Linked DNA regions of Lytechinus pictus. The protein of the gene in region 1 binds, or shares a complex with, the protein of each later gene. Links are inferred from orthologs where the notes say so. Each region holds a gene or a part of one and is shown on either strand. Other genes may lie near its edges.

Evidence for each region.
Region 2: actin-related protein 2/3 complex subunit 2-like (region 1) and actin-related protein 2/3 complex subunit 4 share a complex: the UniProt entries of both Caenorhabditis elegans proteins name them as parts of the arp2/3 complex. The link is inferred for Lytechinus pictus from reciprocal best matches to the Caenorhabditis elegans genes arx-4 and arx-6.
Region 3: actin-related protein 2/3 complex subunit 2-like (region 1) and actin-related protein 2/3 complex subunit 3-like share a complex: the UniProt entries of both Caenorhabditis elegans proteins name them as parts of the arp2/3 complex. The link is inferred for Lytechinus pictus from reciprocal best matches to the Caenorhabditis elegans genes arx-4 and arx-5.

What each region holds. Positions count from the first base shown.
Region 1 is NC_087257.1:14,507,513-14,514,777, reverse strand, and holds the start of actin-related protein 2/3 complex subunit 2-like, read left to right. Parts: upstream 1-4,171; 5' UTR 4,172-4,334; coding exon 4,335-4,408; intron 4,409-7,265. UniProt on the Caenorhabditis elegans protein: Functions as actin-binding component of the Arp2/3 complex which is involved in regulation of actin polymerization and together with an activating nucleation-promoting factor (NPF) mediates the formation of branched actin networks.
Region 2 is NC_087247.1:40,229,029-40,236,619, forward strand, and holds the start of actin-related protein 2/3 complex subunit 4, read right to left. Parts: upstream 3,004-7,591; 5' UTR 2,147-3,003; coding exon 2,144-2,146; intron 1-2,143. UniProt on the Caenorhabditis elegans protein: Functions as actin-binding component of the Arp2/3 complex which is involved in regulation of actin polymerization and together with an activating nucleation-promoting factor (NPF) mediates the formation of branched actin networks.
Region 3 is NC_087246.1:16,006,839-16,014,795, reverse strand, and holds the start of actin-related protein 2/3 complex subunit 3-like, read left to right. Parts: upstream 1-4,879; coding exon 4,880-5,009; intron 5,010-5,746; coding exon 5,747-5,823; intron 5,824-7,957. UniProt on the Caenorhabditis elegans protein: Functions as a component of the Arp2/3 complex which is involved in regulation of actin polymerization and together with an activating nucleation-promoting factor (NPF) mediates the formation of branched actin networks.

The DNA.
Region 1 (7,265 bases):
GCGTATAGTCATAAACAGGATGCAAATCCTATAAATTGGTGATACACTAACCTTAATGAAAAGGGGACACGTATCTCATTTATCAAGTAAACATAAAAGAGGCGTAATGAGCCATAAATTTTGAGCGGACAAGATATGGCGTATCGGGTAAAATTAATACAAAGTTATGAGAAGGCGAAGCAAGCGAAATTTTAACATTTTTATTGCAAAAAATCAATTTTGTGGTAGTGTTTGACTTAATATTAAACAAATGATATCATATTTCAGATTCTCTCTTTCCTTTTCTCCCTTTTTCTTGGTCGTGACCTTTTTTGTGGGGGGGGGGGGCCAAGCCCCCCCCCCCCATCTGTGCACCAGTAAGATATAATGTGAGTGAAAAAGTGCGATCTTCTATTTATTATTCATAGATCGGGGGGGGGGGAATTATTGACTGTTATAGAGAAATTCATTAAGATGATACAAATATCAAGCAAAAAAAAAAGGGGGAGACGAAAGAAGGAATAAGACAGTCTAGGTCTGCATGCCTGGGTCGTGTAAAATATGAGGTCACATTTAGGTTGCCCCCCCCCCCCCCCCCCCGTGTAGAAATATTCCCTAAGAGGAGACATTGAAAATGTTTTTTTTTAATTGGGGCTCATTTTATTCATTATATGTAAATTGTACGAGGAAGAGCAAAGACTAAAACGCATCTTTTCTCTCCGCGCCATCAACATCTGCGCACTTCCTGCCATGTCCCTGGGAAGCGGGGGGTGCTGGGGGTGCTGCATTGAAGCACCCCCAACATTTTCCTTGGGGTGCTGCGTGTATTATTCTCCAGAGGCAGCACCCCCAGGTTGTCCGGAAGATGTTTAAAAGTGGAAAATATAACCAAAATTACCTTTTAATAATGTAGTGAAATCCCCATTTTTTGCTTTGTTCTCCATATGTTGTTGTGAAAACTTTTTTTTTTTTTTTACTTTTCAAATTTACATCAGCACCTCCAGTAAAAACTGTGGGGGTATTGGGCAGCAGACCCAATACCCAGGCAAAGAAGAAGAAGAAGTAGGGCCTACCTCTCTCCCTTCTTCATGTTCTTGTTCATTGAGACCACATTACGACTGTTCGCGATCCGATTTTGGAACAAATCGCATTTTGCTCATTTTCTGAAAATGTGAATGGAACAAGTCATTTTATTTGAGGTTAAAATTAATTGAAAGAATACCAATATAACCATTTTGTAAGATTGTAAGCCTTTAAAGGCCAAATTTGTTTCAAATCGTAGCAAATCGTACGACTGCTATGACGTCATTACGACTAACGTTATTAAACATTCTAGGAATTAAGGATGATAGCATAGTCACATATTTGAATATAGGGATTCGTACGATGATCTCGAACATATATTACACAGTAAGATATTCCAAGTCTCAATATTAGCATCGAATTCTGCTACGTTTTATTCCAAAATTGAGTCGCAGACCAATCGCAAGGTGTGCGGTCGCCTTTATAATGGTGAGTGGTGAATTATCGGATGGTCTAATACCACTTAGTCTACTTATCAGTTCGTCCAACTTCACATAGTCTAAACTCATTTCGTCTAAAACCAGTTCGGCTAATATCCAATTCGTCTACTTCCCCGCGCACTTGGTCTAATTTTCATTTCGTCTAATTTTCATATGGTCGAATGACCGTTTGGTCTAATTTCCACTTGGTCTAATATCCACTTGGTCTAATGACCACTCGGTCTAATAGCCAAATGGTCTAATGACCACTTGGTCTAATAGCCAAATGGTCTAATGACCACTTAGTCTAATAGCCGAATGGTCAAATGACCACTTGGTCTAATAGCCAAATGGTCTAATGCCCACTTGGGCTAATCGTCACTTGGTCTAATTTTCATTTGGTCTAATTCACACTTGGTCTACTGTCCATTCATTCTTATATAACATCATTCATTATTATTCATTTGATCTAGAATTAACAAATATATTAATGGATAAATAAATACACCATGCATCAGTTAATACATGCCGCCAGGATCCGGAGGGGTAGAGCCGCGGGGTAGGGCTGGTGGGCGCTGGAGGACTATCGATGAATTATTCCAATGAATCATTCTAATCAAATATAATTCTCATAATTAGGCCTATACATGTATATCGATTATATAGATGATGGTGAAAATTATATCAAACTCATAATCATTATCACCTCATGTACATTTTACAGAACAATATAAGTTGGGACCTTGTACTATAGCTTCTTATAATGGTCGAATGGCGGGGTTTCATCAGAATAGCATTATTATGAAGAAAGGAACGAAAATATAATGCAATTGATTGTGTGGATACGTATCAGGTTAACATGTTTATGCCTCTTATACCAGTTAGATATAGTTTAATAACACTATACACATACAGGTTTATTGGGTTCCATCTTGGTAGCAGCCATTTCTCGATTCTAACCTTCTTCGTATAAGTGGTCACGTGTAATAACATAGTATAGTCTACGCTTGCAGGCCTGTATCAGTTATCATCACAGTAGTCAGTCATTATCTACTCATTGGCCCGTATTCTGAAGTCGGGTTTAACTTAAACTCAGGTTTAAAGTTGTGGTTTAAGTATGGCGAGCCAATTGTTACATAAATTACTAACTGTAGAGATATCATACTTCAGCTCATTTGGCTCTCAAATAATTCATACATGTGTAATTGTCTAGGAAGTATAAAAAGATTATTGGCTTCACCATCGATGAATCAGGAAAGAGCACAGTAAACATAAGAAACATACAACTTAATGACAAATTTGATACTATTGGCTATTCCCATACTTAAACCACAACTTTAAACCTGAGTTTAACTTAAACCCGACTTCAGAATACGGGCCATTCTGTTTTTTGTTTGTTCTTCTTCTCCTCCTCCTTAAAATGGATTGACAGGGTTAATTCCCAGCCCATCAGGGAAATCAAGAAAATCAGGGATTTTAAAAAACATTTTTCCAGTCAGGGAAAAATCAGGAAATTACCTCAAATCAGGGGAAAATCATATAAATGAGGGCAAAATCAGGAAATTTTGATCGGCCCAAAAGTCGAAAGCACGATAGTCCGTCAGACTCTGTTATATTTTGTTGTATATATATCAAAACAATTTATTGAATGACAGGTTATGGTGTTCTTTTTTTTTAGTGTAGCCTCTTTTACTACAGTACAAGTACTGGTACATATGATTAAAAATGATAATACATGCTATTAACAAACAATATACGTAATCAACTGCATCATCTTAGAAAACATGAGAAACTGGGAATGGGTTTGAATAATTATCAGGAAATTTTAAAACCTTATTTTTCCACCTCTATGAACGTATATTAGCGTTTAATATTTCACAGAAAAATAGAAAATTTTATTGTTTTTCACCAAAACCTTCAAAAAATCCCCATTAACAGACAAAAGAAAATCCCCCAATATTTTTTTTAATCCCCATATTTTCAAAATTTGGGGATGGAAATATACCGTCGTCACTCTAACTGTACTCCAACATCGAGGGGCGCACGTGTGAAGCTTCGAAGCCGGCGCGCGGAAAGTAACTTTAAGATTTTCACCAGAAAATTGATAACAAGTCACTAAACTTTACAAATTAGACCAAGTGGCATGTAGACGAAATGAATGTTAGACTATCTGGAAATTAAACAAAGTTGAAATTAGCCGAAGTGGAAATTAGACCAAGTGGAAATTAGCCGAAATGGAAATTAGACCAACTGCACATTAGACCAACTGAATAATGGACCAAGTGAGGATTAGACCAACTGCACATTACACGAACTACAATATAGACCAAATGAATAATGGACCAAGTGAAGATTAGCCCAACTGGGCATTAAACCATTTGGCTATTAGACCAAGTGGTCATATACCAATTGGCTATGAGACCAAGTGGTCATTAGACCAATTGGCTATATATAGACCTTAAGTGGTCATTATAGACCACTTGGCTATTAGACCAAGTGGTCATTAGACCAATTGGCTATGAGACCAAGTGGTCATTAGACCAAAAGAGAATTGGACTAAGTGCATGGGTAATAATAGTCTGAATGTTGTTAGCCCATCTGACGATTAGACCAAGTGATATTAGACCAACCGTCAGTAAACCTTTATAATCACCCCCTAGCAAAAATAAAGGACTTATCGCCCTCTCGTCAGTAGAGGGCAGCAAACACAACTTGTTTTCACTTCCTTCTATTTCTCTCTCGCACAAACGTGAAGTCGAGCGTCGCCCACCTTGAGAAAAAACACCTTTTTTCCCCGGAAAGTGCTGGAAGAATCTGAAAAGTTCTATTGGGTACTGGAGACACAGCATCAAGATGATTTTATTAGAGATAAAGAATAGAATAATCGAAGAGACACTTCTAAATAAATTCGAAGCAGCGGTAGCCGGGTGAGTAAGGAAGTGATTTGGGAATGGGTTGCCTCCCATCTTTGTGCGTACACTGGGGTCACGGTCCCATTCTGAGAGAGTCGTGTTGTAGGAAGTGTAACTACACTGCTCGTAGACTGTACTCTGTAATCTGTATGTGTCTAGATCAGCCATTCTCAATTACTTTTTTTGAAGCGCCACATTTCTTGTTGAGTATCTGTAGTGCGCCACTATATCCATTACACCAGCAAAGTATTTTAGAAGGGGTCTAGAGGCCCTTGGTGGGGGTCGAGGGGGCAGAGCCCCCAGAAGTTTTTGAATGTTAGGCCTTTTAGATTGCCCAGAGGGGCTTTAATTAATATCAACAGAAGAAATACGAATGCCAACAAACTACACATTATATTTATCAAAAGAAAAATGATTAGTGACTTTTTCACAACATACCAATGAAACAACTAGTTCAGACTGTTCTGCAACAGATCTATTGGCTGAAGCAAGTGGCGTAATGAGTAAAAAGAAAATGAGGGGGCTAAATATGGCAGCTGAAGCAAAAATGTTGAGCTTTTCAATACAAAAATCTATATTTTGACATAATATTAAGAAAACAATACAATATTCAACTCTTTCCCTTTCCTTTTCTCCCCTTGTCCTTGAAACACTAGGGGGCCCCAATCCCCACCCCAATCTGTACGCCAGTGGCTGAATTTACAGTCCCTGATTTTCAATGGGCCGAAAATTAGGCGTTGCACTGCACTAACGCCAAAAATTGCCCCCCCCCCTCTCTCTCTACAACTCGTGTTAAACAAGAGTACATGCAGGCAATCGTGGCAGGCAATACATCGAGCATATTTCACTTTTACAACTTCGGATTTTAATCGGCTTCGGAAAACAAAGTTTCTGCTTGTTATGTCCCTAATGGCCTAATTCATTATCTTTTATTATCAGGATGTCCTTTGAATATCATATCATTTCATATTTAACTCTTAAGCAAAACGTATACTCAGGAAATGCAAAATTACTCGCCGTAGAAATAGAAATCCTACAAGCGGGGCTTTCAAATCACTTGTGTGGCACATAAACTTTGTAGCATAGAATAAATAAAAAGAACACCATCGATCCTCCATTATAAGGATTATCGAGTGCTAAATTTGACAAAATTTGAGGAAATCAATAAGTACTTAAGTTTCAAGTAAAGATTTTTTGCTTTCTTTTTGTATTAAAATGATCACCAAATCCTCATGTTACTGGTATACATTTTTCTCCCCAATTTTTCCTTATTTTTTTTATACCGGCTCCCAAGCGCCACTCCACAAGGCTCGGTGCGCCACCATTTGAGAATTCCTGGTCTAGATCTAACGTTAGATCTACCAGTATAGTCACGTATTGTATTACCGGACACTATTATGATTCCGGACGCGCATATTACTGCGTTCTAAAACAAATTTGTACCGTAAGACTTCCGCAATTCGATTTCACAGAGCAATACATAGAACAAGATTGCAAAAACAAGGCAAAAAATCCAACTTTTACCTAATTATCTCTAAAAATGAAAGAAAATGCTTAAAATATCATATAACGTAGTTTTGTATTAACAATTGATATATTTTCTAACGGAAATATGGGCCTGATTTTGCCGAATTTCAATCTCGTCCACTCCTTCGATCGAATGATGAGGTGTGGTGAATTGTGGGTGATCATCGGTGGCTAGTTCTCAAGGGTTCCGGGACAGCCCGACCACCGGACAGCCCGACCCTGGACAGCCCGACCCGCTGCCCTGGACAACTCGTCCCGGTCGAGTTGTCCAGGGTTGGCTCTGAATCGGACAACTCGACCACTTGAATTCTTCTTCAACATTTCAGGTGAAGATTGAAAATGGTCTGATTTGCTTTATCAGAAGAGGTGCAGACTGCAGAACTTCAAATGTTATATGTTAAATTTTCTGTCGAGAATGTATTGTAGAAACATGGATTATGCGGGAAAATACTTTTGAAGTAAAGTTTGAAATTTTATTTCATGAAATGTTGAAGAAGAATTCAAGTGGTCGAGTTGTCCGATTCAGAGCCAACCCTGGACAACTCGACCGGGACGAGTTGTCCAGGGCAGCGGGTCGGGCTGTCCAGGGTCGGGCTGTCCGGTGGTCGGGCTGTCCGGACCCCGTTCTCAAGGTACCCGTGCGCGAGGTTTACCGTGAGTAGAGCCGTCGGCAGCGTATCGATAGAACTTGATAAGCGTCACGATACGAACGCGAGCATATTATTATTGGAAAGTGCCATGGAACATGCAGCTAACAAGACAAAATAGATAAGTTATCAAACACAAATTTATTACCAACATCTGCTCAGATTCGATATAAAAAAAAACAAATAATACTTAGAATTTACTCATGATATGATATAAGAAGAAAAAAATCACACAAATTTGCTCTTACATCATTATAATCAAGGATATCTTTACCCGTCCGGCGCGCGTCCGGAATCATGATGTAATTTGTCGCGCACGAAAATAATTGTTTTTCGTGGAGGGGTATGCGGCAAGTGCGATGCAAAGAAAATTGTTGGTAAATATAAAATAATTTTATCATATTCATAATTTTCATAATATTTGGAATAGCGGGTGTGAATTTTTCTTGATTGTATTTCCTCTAGTTGTCATTTTTAAAGCACTGAAATAAAGGTGTCCGGCAATAGGATACACTGCCATACCACGACTTTTACTAGGCTGAGTTGATAGTTTAGTTAAGTGTGTGTGTGCAGGAGAAGGTAGACAATGTTAGATTATATTAAACTTTAGGGTATTATTTAGACAGCTGGCAGCCGTCTGCATGTTGCGAGGAGTTTTTTAAATTAAACATTTTAATTTTTTTTTTAAATTTCTCCTC
Region 2 (7,591 bases), on another chromosome or scaffold:
ATGATGATCAAAACATAGGCATCCTCGATCCTTTCGTTGGTCATCATAAGCTGCCATCTTGGATGACGTTATCATCCTTACAGACGTATTTACCAGTCGCCATATATCGCGATACCTGCCCCTGCGTTGCGCTTGTCTATGTGCGTTCGTTCAGAACTTTTCGCTCGCATTTGATTGGCCAGGATATAGAAAATTCTAATCAGAAAGCCTTGATAAAAGCCTAACTCAACTAACGTAGAGGGCAGCAACATACAAATTTAAAATAAAGGAATAAATCATCGGTAACATATATTTTCGAATTTTATTAGAAAATTTGTTGTAACAAAAGAAAGATTATAGTCTAACAAAAATAAAGGCCATCGTTCAAGATAATATAATGTCATTTAGACCTTAAAAAAAAATTAAATCTAGACAAAACACGAAAGGCCCGAATTGGGAGAAATGATTACACACGAGGGCTCGCACTAACGTACTACTTTCGGTAAATGGGGATGAGAGTTAAGTGTCAGAAATCAAAGGTCTCCAAACATGTGATACTAACCAATTTTATGGCATTTTAACCTCCATTTGATACAATTATCTTACATGTACCTTTGTCTGCTTGATTTCTTTTCTAAAGCTTTGCAGAACGATCGTGACATGCAAATTAGGGTCACAATTTTTCACGACACTTTTTTTCAGCCGAGCGCGCACTAGTCTATCGTCATGGAATTTTGAGATCACGATACAAGCAAAACCCTTGACCTACTTTATAATTCTGTAAAGCGAATTTGACTTTGGGATCATGACGCTCGCGTCCGTAACGTTGGGGAAGTACAATAAGAAACAAGATGGCGGCGTAAACATCGGGCAAGTCTCTTCCGTCTTTTCACAATATTTTTTCATTTTTTTGATGAATTCTTGTTTTAAAAATAACAACGAGAGCGTAGAAATGTCGGAAATGAAGTTTTATCCCATGTACATGATTTAGAGCTAGATCTTTTAGAAGGAAAGTAGAAATCTCGGGGGTGAAAGTTTCAGGTTTTGGCTTCCATTGTGTGGGTCTATGGGATAGAAGGCCTGGCTTCATGAGAGTGACCTTACGTTAGTAAATGATTTTTACTCTCTAGAAGCCGCCTGGCTAGGCCTTGCCAGGTTTTAAACTAACCCAGAGAGCTCCCGCCCGCGCAGCGGGCGGGAGCCCAGAAGCTTACAGTGTATTTTACCATTGTCACCGGACTAGGGTGATTTATGGTCTAAATATTTCTCCAAATGAATTGTGAAAACGGAAAGTATACAATTACCACGATTATATGGATGAAGGTCTAACGAGTGGCAGATTCCTGACATCTGGGCACAGTCTGGAACCTCAAAAAAACGAAAAGTTCTCTCCTTTTACCCAGTCTCGATCGGCCATTTTGTTACGATTTTTAACAAAAATGGCCGATCGAGACGGGGTAGAAGGAGAGAACTTTTCGTTTTTTTGAGGTTCCAGACTGTGCCCAGATGTCAGGAATCTGCCACTCGTTAGACCTTCATCCATATAATCGTGGTAATTGTATACTTTCTGTTTTCACAATTCATTTGGAGAAATATTTAGACCATAAATCACCCTAGTCCGGTGAATATGGTCAAATACACGGTAAGCTTCTGGGCTCCCGCCCGCTGCGCGGGCGGGAGCTCTCTGGGTTAGTTTTAAACATGTTATTGTTAAACTTAGTTTTAGTTTTATTTTGTTGTAATAGTTCAAGTTGTATGAACTATGAAGCTGAAACTCTGTGTGTTCTGTTTCGGATCACTTTGTACAATACATATTTTCAATTTAAATTACATGATTAAGGCATCTATTTTATGGTATATTGGGATGTCAAAATTATTTGGATAACCGGAAGTCAATTGTAATGGACAGCGGCGCAGCACGGACAGGTAGCGAAGACCACCAGGCAAGCCAGGCCAGAACGCTCCCGTGGATGAACTGTGCCTCGACCATAAAGGCGTAAGTGAGATATTCGACATCCTTTTCCGCGTTCAATTTAGACACCTTTTAGGGCGTTACCAGTAAACTTGACAACAAGCCTCTGACTGCCAATGGTTACATATAAAGTGAAAATACGATAAATATCGATTCACAAAGTTATTTTTTACTAAAATAAATAATACATACCATCTTTTATCGCACTTCCTACACTACCAGGATCGGAAACGCCCGGTCATCAGCACGAAATGCCTCTCCTGATTTCAACTCAGAGGGAGCCAAACAAGAGTGATCAAACCCAAACAACGACGAAAATGTGGTGGGGAAGCAATCGAGAAGATGCGTAGAATGTGGGAGGAACGAATATAGTATAACCATAGAGATGTATACATCTCTATGACTGCAGGGCTCGACACTAGCGCCGGTCCGACGGTCCCAGACCGGTAAAAATCACTGTCGGACCGGTAGATTTTCAGAAATAGCAAGATTTACTGGTCCGACATGACCAGTAAAAAATATTGTCGGGCCAGTAATTTTTCCAAAAATAGCAAGATTTATGGGTCCGACATAAACAGTAATAAAAACTATTGTTGGGCCAGTAACTTTTTCAGAAATGGTCAAATTCGCTAGTCCAACATAAACATGAAAAATATTCCATGACTCAAATTGCGAACCCTTTTCCTCCCGTTGAATTCTGGCATTCACACACAGAACACACACAGAATGAATCGCATGCAATTTTGATAGGGTAACATACAGTGTACACGTGGCTAGCCAGCCACACAGCCCACATGGTAAATTTCCTACTGGCTGCACGGACGAAGCTTGCTTGGCTAACCTCTGGCAGAAATCTCTCACAGAACTGTCAAAATTCACATTTCACACTAATGAAAAGCTCTTATAATGTCCATATTTCCTAAAAAATTGCCAAAATTGGGGTAACTCTGTCATTTGTAAGCAGTAAAAGGAGAAATTTTCACTTCTGTTTTAGTTCAAAGAGATCGGGTTTCGAGTGATATCGTCTGAATACATGATAGCCCCACATATGCATTTGTGTGTGTGTTGATACACTTGGTTTCTTTTGTAGCTAGTACTAGTATATTTTAATTGAGCCAAAAAGAAACTGATAATTTATTTATGATGATAGTTTTAGCTTTCTTCCTTTGTTTTCTTTCAATCTTTCTTTCCTTCTTTCTTTTCAATCTTTCTTTGTTTCTTCCCTCTCTTCTTTTACTGTCTTTCTTTTTTAATTTTCCCTTTTTCTTTGTCTTTTGTTCTTTCATTCTTTCTGTCCTGTTAATATTTTTCTCTATTTCTAATGCTCTTTCTTTTTCTTTCTTTTTTGATTTCCTTCTTTCTTTAATTCTTGAGTCCATCCATCCTATATTTATCTCTTCTTTCTTTCTTAATTTCCTTCCTTCTTTTCCCCTTTCTTTCCTTCATTCTTTGTTACTTTCTATCTTTCCTCATTCCATCCATCCTTTCTTTACCCTTTCTTGTTTTTATTCCTTCTTTCAGCCCTTTCTCTCTTTCATTCCTTCCTTTCTTCTTTGTCTTTTGTTCTTTCTTTTTCCCCTTTGTTCCATCTATCCTTTTACCTTTTCTTTCTTCCTTTTATTTACTGCTTGCTTCCTTTCCTTTCTTTCTTTGAAGTTTGGTCTTTCTTTTTTGTTCTTCCTTTCATTTATTCTTTTACATTTTCTTTCTTTTTTTTATATTGCTTGCTTGCTTCCTTCCTTCTTTATTCCTTCCCAACATTCCTTTTTCCTTCTATCATTTTCCCTTTTCTTGATTTCTTCCTTCTTTCAATCCTTTATTTCTGTTTTCCTTCTTTCCATCTCTCCTTTTACCCTTTCTTTCTTTTTTTATTCCTTCTTTCCTTCTTTCTTTCATTACTTTGTCTTTTGTTCTTTCTTTCTATATTGATTGCTTCATTTCTTTCCTTCTTTCCTTCATTCTTTTTTTCTTTTGTTCTTTCTTTCCTTCCTTTCCTTCTTTGGTTTTTTTTCCTTCCTTCACATTTTTTCTTTACTTTTTTCTTCCTTCGTTTCTTTTATTCTTTCTTTTTTCCTTCTTTCCATCTCTCCTTTTACCCTTTCTTTCTTGTTTTATTGCTTCTTTCCTTTTTCTTTTTTCATTACTTTCTGTCTTTTGTTTTTTTCTTTCTTTATTGCTTGCATCATTTCTTTCCTTCTTTTTTTTTCTTTCTTTCTTTCTTTCTTTCTTTCTTTCTTTCCTTCCTTTTTTTCTTTCGTTCTTTCTTTCTTATTTTTGTTCTTTCTTTCCTTCCTTTCCTTCTTTCTTTCTTTAGTTCTTTCTTTTTTTCCTTCCTTCACATCTATCCTTTCTTTACCTTTGCTTTTTTCTTCCTTCCTTCCTTTCTTTTATTCTTTCTTCCTTTCTTTCTTTTTGTCTTTCATTCATTCATTCCTTCATTTTTTTTTGGGGGGGGGGGGTAACAAGAAAGGACAGCAAAATAAACTCACACCTTTTTTTAATGTTTTCTTTATTTTTTGGGACCAGTAGATTTTAGGTTCGGACCAGTAAAAAATTGAAAAACTGGGTATCTACTGGTCCGACATGAATAGGTTGGACCAGTAGAAAAAAAGGGTTAGTGTGGAGCCCTGCTATGAGTATAACCAAAATATAAAGCAATAAGTAAAAAAAAAATATATTCATATAACACGTGAGAGTTAAAGGGAGCTTGAATAAAAAGCTATCATGGCAGTCTTAATTCGATATTAATTATTTTACAAAGGGGGAGGGCCTCGTCATACCGGAAATAGGAACGCTCTAGAATTAAAAATTAAGTACATCGGGGGCCGGGGGTATATTTTGCCGTAGGAGAAGGAAACTATTAAAAATTACAACTTGATCTATTTGGGAGCAGATTCTATTCTTGTCTGCGGGGTAGGGTGAGGGCTGAAAATTTTTCATCCACGTTTACCCTTTTTGTTTGTTTGTCTCTCTGTACGTCTGTTTTTACAGTGTTTATTTTTTTACTATTTTTTTGGGGGGGTGGTCATCCTTAAGACTGGAACTAAAATCGATGTACATGCCTTTGTTTACGAACTACCCTAACTTGCCATAAGTAGGCATATATTTTGTCCCATTTACACTAGAATTAATCTTTGATTTTTTTTGTAGATAAAGTTACTTTGTTAGTTGTACGTCTTAAATGTTCTAAATAAGGCCGTATGATATTTCGATATTGTGAAAAAAAATGTTAATGATATAGGTACCTGATGAAGGGTCTCGAATGGCTTATGCACAGAGTCAATACATTATTCATCAAGTAGATTCTTTACAATTGACACAAACTGTGTAATGTGTAATTATTCATTGTGTATAATGTAATCGTCAAATCAAAGATTCGGGGATCGAGGACATATATCAAGCTTATTCACCTAAAAAATAAATGAAGGAAAATATAGAAGCTTGTTTCGAGCCAGAGGAAGGATGTAAAAATAGAGTTTCTAACTGTATACAAAGTACAGGCTTTGTTGCAAACATCGACCCCCTGGCGGCCTTTTCACACGACTGCCGGGGCGCGACGTTATACTCAACAGGCATCATTCAGCCCATCCGGCATTAAACAGGGGCCACAAACAATACAACATTTGATTAGATCTTTTGTTATTGTCTGTTGTATACAGTATCGGACACGTCCAAGCGAAGAGTGCGGGAGCGTTGGTCAACTCTCTGGACATACGAAAGGTCAAGATATAAGTGTATTGGTGAAGTGCTAAAGGAACTGATGCCGAAATCTGTAGGAGGTGACCGATGAATGTTCTGCTCGCTTTTTGTAAGTCGAAAATGCGTTGTAGGGTCAAGAGAATATCGTAATATGATTGTTGTGGTCGTCGGCATGGTCGAGTTGCATTTTTTGGTCATTTGCAATTACACGTGGAGCCGGGACGTGGAGTCACTCCTATACAGAACCTACAGAAGTCCTCTGGAGTAGTCCACAAGCGACTGCATCAGCTGGATCCACATCCTGACTTATGGATCCTGCTGAGTATTGTCGTAGAAGTAGAAGCCCTGGTCGAACTTGACCATATCTATTTACATGTATAAGGGTAGACGCCGGGTAGACGCTGTGCAACGCCAATTCAACTTCAACAGCAACTTTGTGATAAACGAAAATGATTCATGTTTAATTGTTTAAGGATTTTTCTTATATATTATTTGTTAATTTTGGGGGGCGTATTTGTTTTTATGTCACCGATATTATCAAAAAAAGTACAGAAGACCGATATCAGGAGTTAGATGAAACTCAAAGCATATCCATAAAGTCGGTCGTTATGTTAGTCTCTACTTGCCCAGGCCTTGAATCATGAAAGATTATCTTCAGGTTTTTATCTTCATGATTGATATTTTCAGTGGGGGGGGGGGGGGTGGCATATCTTTCATGGCCTACATATCCGGGCTATATACTGTATGCATGATGCAGATCTAGTGCGAAGCGCGATCGTGCTGAAAATGTTTGATACTGTCCTGAAAAGAGAATGTTTTAAGCACATGTTTGACTTGTATGAAAATGTGAATATATCTTACTTTGATGTGCAAGCGTAAGCTGATTTTTTTTATATCCAGATCTGAACATGCCGAAAAGGACATTTTAAGCACCCTTTTCCATTAGTGAGATCATGAACAGGATGCATTCGTATCTCAAAAAAAAAACTGCGAAGCGCGAGCGAAAATTTATTATTTCCTTTAGTGACCTTATTTATTTCTTCCAGTTTCCTATTGCCCCATGTCCTTATTTTATCCACTTAACTTCTTACACTTGTCTTTTTTTTCTTCTTTTTATCATCATTATTTTAATTCTCCCCTTCTTATCCCTTTTTCCATTTTCCCTTTGCGCGACGTCAATGGGAGGGTGCGGCCCCGGGGTGCGGCTATAATATACTCATTCGCCTGCCCCTAGATTTGCATATACGTTTATACTAATCGATAATTTTATGTATACTATAGATACATCATAATACATTGGTATTAGTATGATAGATCCAATCATCATCGCTGATGATTAAAATTTTTTTTTTCAGATGAATTTGAAGGGGGGGGGCTATATAGGTGTCGAATTTTAAAATTATACCGCAGTTTTCTGGCACAGGCATGTTTGTCTTTCAAATTATATTCACAAATGTCTATTGTTGATTGCAGGTGTGTCGCCGGCAGCATCATGCCCGAAGGTCCGAGCGTTAGACGGTGGGGTAACATCGCTCGTCAATTCCTCAAGAAACGCATCAAGGAAGTGAAAGGAGTCAGCAAAGTTATGGAACGCGAGAGATGGAGAGGTGCATTCATCAACGATGTTGTCGTTTACGGCAAGCAGTTGTTTTTTCAACTCCTCAAAGAGGGTTTTTCGAAAGGGGACACAAGTGACAAGGAATTGGACACACCCAGGAGGAATAAAACGCGGAAGGTGCATGATCATCGAGAAAAAGACCAAGATTACGGAGAAGACTCCATCTGGTATCGCTATCACTTCTTGATGTGGGGTAGCCTTCGCGCGAACGAATATAAAGAACCTTCAAAGCGTTCGAAGAGAGCAAAAAGGTTAGACTCACCGAAAGCTCCGAATCCTATGGTCGAGTTTCTATTTGAAGATACGACATTTCTCGTTTTCTA
Region 3 (7,957 bases), on another chromosome or scaffold:
TAACGTGTTTAAAGAATCTCTCCCTTGTTTCAGAATATGCAAACTAAAGGATTGCATGACCAGGTTTTTTGTTCTTTGGCCAAAATCCTAACATATTGTTTGCTATTTAATGAAATAAAATGCAATAAAGTGTGTGTGACACCACTCCACTCAGCTTTGCATTGCCTTATTCACCGTTTTGGGCACCATGCGAAGTTTGACATGCTCATATTTTCTTATTTCATTCAATTTTGAATAGTTTGAATAATATTGGAAACATGGGGTGTGATTTGTCTATCACTTTGATGCATAAGTGGATTGATCACAATTTGAATTATGCCACAGCACCCACACATTGTGAATATTTATATCATGTAACCACTGAAAATTTGCTATATCAGGTATTAAAGTCCTATATATATACTTTAATTAATTCAAAGGAATTTTTTGAATTATATGTTTCAGAATCTCATTTCATTTTGTACTTCTGGTATTTCTGAAGACATACATGTAATATATACATGTTAAATCATTTACCTCCATTGTTCAATTAAAGGAATTATTTTTAGAACTATCTGTTTTGGATTTTTCATTTTGAACTTCAAACATTTCTAAAGACTTACATGTAAATTGAAGGAATAATTTTGGAAGTACAGTATCTGTTTAAAAAATCTTATTTCATTTCTAACTTCTAATATTTCTAAAGACATGATTAAAGTTATTTAAATCCATGTGGTCTGCCTCTCCTTTTTCTCTTTTTGATAATAGGTTATATTGGAGTTTACTATAGGCCTACATGTCTGATATCATGTGGTTTGTTCAGTCACAGAAAAGGAAATACTCCGCCTCTATAAACTAAAGCCTTACTGCCCCCCACGCCTATATAAACCATCGCGATTTGTAGTTCTTGTATGTAAGAAGTGGACTTTATTTTTTTTTCTTTGAAATCATGCATGGAAAATGGGGGAGAAATAAGTATATTGAATAATGTGAATTATTAAGGGACAAAACGTAATAAAAAATGAAATTGACTTCTGTTTACATTTGTTTGTTTTATTTTATTCCTCTGATGATCCAGCTGGCACAAATAACTTTGAAGTTATATGTTTACTTAAAATGTTAATTTATAGCAAAGCAGTTTAAACAAGTTGCAATGTAATTTTGTTTTCCCCGAAAGGGGGGATAACGCCGGGGATCTGGCTTGAAAATACAATGTGAGACATTTCAGGAAATATGTGTTCTTCACTGCTATTTCAACTTATTCATCTTTCCATAATAATCATTTCATATGATTGTGGTCGTTTTTTGTGGGCATCATCGCGGAGGGAAAAAATGGTTTAAAAAATATATATAGGCCTATATGAGCATGGTGAGTTCCGTCGTGTTATCGCCTTCTTCCTTAACGTATTCATTTAGAATTCCATCGCAAACCTAATTTCTTCACAAAAAATGGGCTATGCTTAAAAGGTACTCACTCAGCCTCAAGCGTAATATTCTGCCAAAAATCATTGCTATATACAGAACCCTGGCTACTCCCCCTCCCCCCCCCCAAAAAAAACCTTGCAACTCGTTCCATCTACTCAAGTTATAACTCGTTCCCTCTACCTAATAACGCGTTCGTTTGTAATTTCTTTCCAATTATTCTTCTCCCTTTCCCCCATTCATTTTCTTAATTTCTTCTCTTATACTCATGACTTCCTCTTATCTTTCTCTTCCCCTTGGCGCCGCCAATATGGGGGCACCCACCCCCCCCCCCCCCCATTGATCCGCATTTGCAAACATGATAATGAGTAGACCCAACAAGAAGGCTTCTTTTTTCTAAACAGTGGTATGGTTTTTTAGTTAAAACTGTATTGGCCGTCTTGAAATGAATTGCCACGACACCGGACTCTGTGAAAATCAATGGAAATCCCCGAGTTTTAACATAATTATTTGAGGGTCAGCATGTTATTATTCTGTCTACCATCGAGACGCAAAGACTCTTCTTGTGTACGTACCGTTCAGCAAATTTTTGAACTGGTGATCGGGGTGACGACAGATATGGTGAGAAGGGGAATACACTTAATATTGAACGTCTAGAAAAAAATATGATAAAAAAATAACTTAAACAATTATACGAAAACAAAACAAAGGAGCACATTGAGAAAAGAGACCTATCTTTACACACTCCCCCTATCATTCAGCAAGATACGATGACAATTTTCAAAAAGTGGTATAGATATTATAACATCTGCTTATACTTTTACAGAATTAGCTCCTGAGAACATTCCTTTATAGGCCTACTTTTACAGTGAAACCACTCATTTCATTTCATTTTCATTTAGGTTTTATTTCCACAAATCCGTTATGTTACAAAACTTAACTGACATAACTAAGCTGAGCAACCATTACAGACGTAGACTATATAAGTATAGATAGCAAGCATTCTTAATCACTACATATCAATACATGTTTAAGTACATAAAAAAACGGAAAAGTGGAGGAAACCTTGGAAGCAGAATGCTTGTAGATAAGGTTCCCTTTTTTATACAGTACATTTGACATTACTACTTAGTAATAATACACGTGACAACATTTTATCAATTAAATTACACCCACAAAAACAACACAACACAGAAACGTGACAAAAAACAAAGAAAGAAAGAAACGAAGAAATAAAAAAACAAAAGAAATAAAGTAAGCAGCTGCCATCCAACAGAATTTAAGAAACTTCTGGATAATAAGCTCTGTGGACAAAAATGCAATAGAGCATGCCAATAAATAGCAATTTCAGTTTGTTTCATTATATCGAAGAAGAAGCTTTGCTTTCAAGTGATGTTTGAAAATATTATAATTTTGTAGTTGCTTAAGTGTCATATCCAAGGAATTCCAATAAACTGGACCAGTATATACTATCGTTCTTTTCCTAAGTACTGTTCTCAACCTATGCAAGTGAAAGAATGACGACTGTCGGGTAGGGTAAGTATGCAAATGTTGATTCTTTTGGAATAGTGATGTAAAAGCATGAGGAAGATCATTTGAGTTCAATTGAAACATGAAACACCCTAAAAATAAATTATATAAATCATGCACCTTTAATACTTTATTGTTGAAAAATAAAATGTTTGTGTGACTTAACCTGTCAGAATGGCAAATTATTCGCAATACCCGTTTTTGAAGAATTAACAATTTATCCAGTTGGTAATTAAACGAATTACCCCATGCAAGTATACCGTAGTTCAGTGGTGCACTCAGTGGTGCACAGGAGGGGCGGGGCTTATGGAAAAAGAGTGCAAGGAGAAGGAGTGAAATGTAATATATTTTTCTATTATCTCAAAATTTGTCACAAAAAAAAGAGTCCCCGTTTTTTTTTATATAGAATGTCAAAAAATTTGCTCCTCGCTTTGGAGTGTTCCAAATTTTTTCAGTTTTATCAAGGAATTTGTGGTCGCTATTTTATAATAGACAGATGGTCCTTCTAGATCTATACAGGTAGTAAAAAGTTGCTAGGCTTATAGTAGACAGCTGGCAGCCGTCTGTTTCTTTCTACCTCCATGGTTTCGAGGAGTTTTTAACATTTTAAATTTCTCCTCTGTATTTGGTGAGTGGAGCCAACGGAGTTCAGCGAAACAACCAACATAACAGAGACCGAAGCATTTGGTCTAGTAATCTTTTCCAGTATTGTCAAAGAGGTACATGCGGGAAGGAGGGGGGGGGTGTGTAAAGTACATGAAAAAGGGGCCCAAATACACCATGTGCAGCTGTGTTTTGGAGCGAGAGAGCACACGCCCACTCTCTCTGATACGCAATATGCGCTACGATATGCCGCCGCGCGCGCCGATGAGGAGTATGTACCGCGGAAGTGTCACACACGGAAGTGAGAAACGACGGCTCAATTGTTGTCCACGAAAAAGACGGAGATTTCATTTTATTTGCCGTGAAGAATCCATATTTTGAAAACCAAAATGCCGGTGAGTGTTCTTACAATTGATATTATACCCCTGTCTTAGCTTGGTGCTCATACATTTAATATTTAACCTCAAATTAACGTCAATATTTGGGTTGAAACTTACATACAGTCGCACTCGTAAGGTTTTGTGTTGTGATCTTCTCAAGGCAAGGGAAACCAGTCTATTCGAATTCAGCCATGCTTAGGGCGTTAGGCTTGGTTTCAGGACTTGAAAGTTGAAACTGGGACTCGGACTGGGTGGAGTCAAGCTAATGAGACAAAGGAGTAAGGCAATTAGGGACTGGGCAAGGCGGGGCTCAAGACCAGGCTTAAAATTGTGTAGAAAAGGGAGCTGAGACTGCATCGACTGAGTCTGAGGATGAGAAAAGTAATTAAATTTAATTCAAAATGAACCAAAGCTCAGTCAAAGCCAAGCAGTCATGGCAGTAAACATTAATGACTGGTAGATTTTAGATCTAAAGCTACATGTTTGTGGAGGAGAAGAATGAAGCCTTGAAGTAGGCGAAGGAAGCGAAGCCAAGCAAGGTCAAGGAGAAAGGGAGGAATTGATTTTAAAAAAAAGATAGGTCTAGATCTGACTAGAGAAGGGGAAAGAACAGCATGATGAAGAAAGTTAGATAGAACTTGGAAGGCAAAGAGAAGAGAATGAAGGAGAAGAAGAAAGAAAATAGAATGAGATACAGAAAGAAACAAAATGATAAATTATTGAGAAATATAGATGGAAATATTAGATGTTTCAGCAAGGAATTTACAAATATATACAACCTGTACCGGTACTACATGTAAGTAAAAACTAACATTTTCTTATTCATGTCGGTTAATTCATGTATTTTTGTTTATTTTTCTGTTTTACATGATGATGTTTTTGCTGGTCTTGATTTCTACTTGTAATTTCAAGTGTTGATGAACAGTTTGGTTACTCCCTGAAATTGGCTTCCCAGAACCAATGCTATGAAATCAATGTCCAAATTGCTTTGTCATATCCAGGCCTATCACTCACAGTTGAGTACCAATATGAAGATTGGAAACCTGGCCCTTCTACCTCTCAATACCAAGTACAGAGGACCAGCACCACCTGGCAGTAAGTTGACCCATGTTTACTAAATTCTCAAATCCATAAGCATTATAGGCCTACAACAGTAATCAAGTTCTAAAAGACAGGAGGCTAGAAAGAGACTACCTTACTCTGGCATAATCATCCATTAGGGGAGATTCACTAATGTCATGGCTTAAATGGGTTTCAAGTGTGATAGAATCATTTCTATTCTATATTTTATATTTGTCTAATTCTTCTGAAATTTATTGTATCTATTAGTAAATCACACAGGGCCAGTATTCTGTGAATTATGATCTCTCTAATATCTTACTTCTTTAGCTCTAATTGTATTTCATTCTGATTCTTTTGACATTAACCCTTAAATAGATCGAAAGAAAATGTCTAAATCATAACGATGAAAGTGTAACTTTATATCATTGCTCAAGCACTTAAAAAACTACAGGAGTAGTCCGCACTCTAATTCTTATCATTTTAATTAATTATAAAAGGGTAAATTTCACTTCAAAATGAGAAACATTTTAATTGGTTAATAGCCATCCTTGGTTACAGCATATATATGAACTTGACCTTTTTTGTTATAGGGTTGGGTGAGACTTATATTTTGAAGTAGTTATGTAGGTACTTGTATCTTGTTATATGATTTGTGAATCAATATCATTCCTCTTTTTCTTTTTTTTTGTAAATTGCTGCTGATGAATGTTTCTTTAGAATTAGATATTACGATCTTCATTATTTTTTTTCTATCTTTCATTCCCTCTAAGCTGGAGAGAATGACATCGTTGATGAAGCCCTTTTCTATTTCAAGGCAAACGTTTTCTTCAAAAATTATGAAATAAAGGTAGGTTTGATTGATGAAATCTATCCGTCTACTGGTCATTCATTGAATATGTTGAATATGTATGCATTGAATGGATGGATGGATGGATGGACATTTGAAAGAACAAAAGTATGTATGAACTAGAACTGCAATCGTATCAGAATGATGTGCATGCATTGACGCCTGTGATTTAAAGGAGAATGAAACTCTTGGAGCAAGTTAGCTTTTGTGAAAGCAGAAAAATCAAAGAATAAGATCAACAAAACTTTGAGTAAAATAGGACTAGCAATAAAAGAGTTATGAGCATTTGAATGTCGAGATCACTAATGCTATGGAGATCCTCCCATTGGCAATGCGACCAAGATCTGTGATGTCACACACGTACAACTCTCCCATTTGGACACTGAAAATATACCCCAAAACATCTCTTTTTGCTCATTCTAATCATATGACAAACGATTCATCAATGATATAATGTTGTGAAACCTCTGTACTTGTCATCTCATAAAGAGAACACCTCACCTTGTGATAGACTCTATAAAAGTGAGAATATAAGTGAAATAAGTACTAAAGTAATGAGGGAGTTGTACGTGTGTGATATCACAGATCTTGGTCGCATTGCCGTTGGGAGGATCTACATGGCACTAGTGATCTCAATATTCGAATGCTCATAACTTTCTTATTATTAATTCAATCTTCCTCAAACTTTCAACAATATGTTTCTTTGATTTTTCTCTTTGATATGGATTCAGCTGGTTTCAAGGGTTTCATTCTCCTTTAATAGAGGGCAAGGAACAGAAGAGAGAAAACTGTAGATGATATCCATTTTCAAAATATTAGAGGGCTCTATTTCTTAAAGGAATAGTCACTGATGCGTAAAACACAGTTGGATTATGTCAAATGATACAATTGGCAAACCCTGAAAATATGAGATCAAAATAAATTAAAACAAGGAAGTTATGGCAATTTTACTATTTTCCGACTTTGCAATAGAGGACGCTATTTATTAAGGTAATGGTCACTGATGCGTAAAAAACGTTTGAATTATCAGGGATGGTACCCTTAGCAAACTCTGAATATGAGACCATAATGATTGAAAACTAGGAAGTTATGGCCATTATACTATTTTCGACTTTTCAATACAGGGCGCTATTTCTTAAAGGTAATGGTCACTGATGCGTAAAAAACATGTGGATTATGAGGAATGATACAATAAGCATACCCTGAAAAAATGAGACAGAAATGAATGAAAACAAGGAACTTATGGCCATTTTGATATTTCTTTAGTTTGCAATAGAGGGCGCTATTTCTAAATGTAATGGTCACTGATGCGTAAAAAGAATATGGATCATGAAGGATGATATCATAGGCCAACCCTAAAAATTTAAGACCGAAATGAATAACAACAAAGTTATTGTCATTTTACTATTTGTTGACTTTGCAATAGAGGGTACTATTTGTAAATTTAATGGTCACTGATGCGTAAAAAAATTTGTTGAATTGTGAAGGATGATACCATTAGTGAACCATGAAAATATGAGACGGAAATTAATAAAAACAAGCAAGTTATGGCCATTTTACGATTTTCCTAATTTGCATTTCAATAAATATGAAAATTTTGAACGTAGACTATCTTGGATTTGAATTAAGGGCAAGAAGACGGCATTTTGAAGGGCAAGTTGTATATTTATATGAAAGAGCAACTCTTAAACAATCTACTGCAATTTGTTAGAAGTCTGTAGCATGCAGGATTCGGGAGTTAGGACGGGATTAGGAATGGTATGCAAATGGACTTGAAATTTACAAAATGGCGCCTGGATAGTCATGCATGAGTGATTTTGGAAAATGGAAGACGAGGTGCACAACTAGGGATGCTGGACAACATGTCTACCAAGTTTGGATGAATTTGGATGAGGGACGGAGCCAGGGCAGAGCTAACAAAAACCATGTGTTAAACAAATGGGATTTTGTGGAAGAAGAAGAAGATGACGGAATAGGAATACGGAACAACAACAGAGCATTGTCGCCTGTAGGCGTCAGTGCAATGAATGAATAAATGAATAAATAAATGAATGAAAGAGTGAATTATTGAAAGAATGAATGAATGAGTGAGTGAATTAATGAATAGTTTGTTGATTGATCGAAGATAGATCAT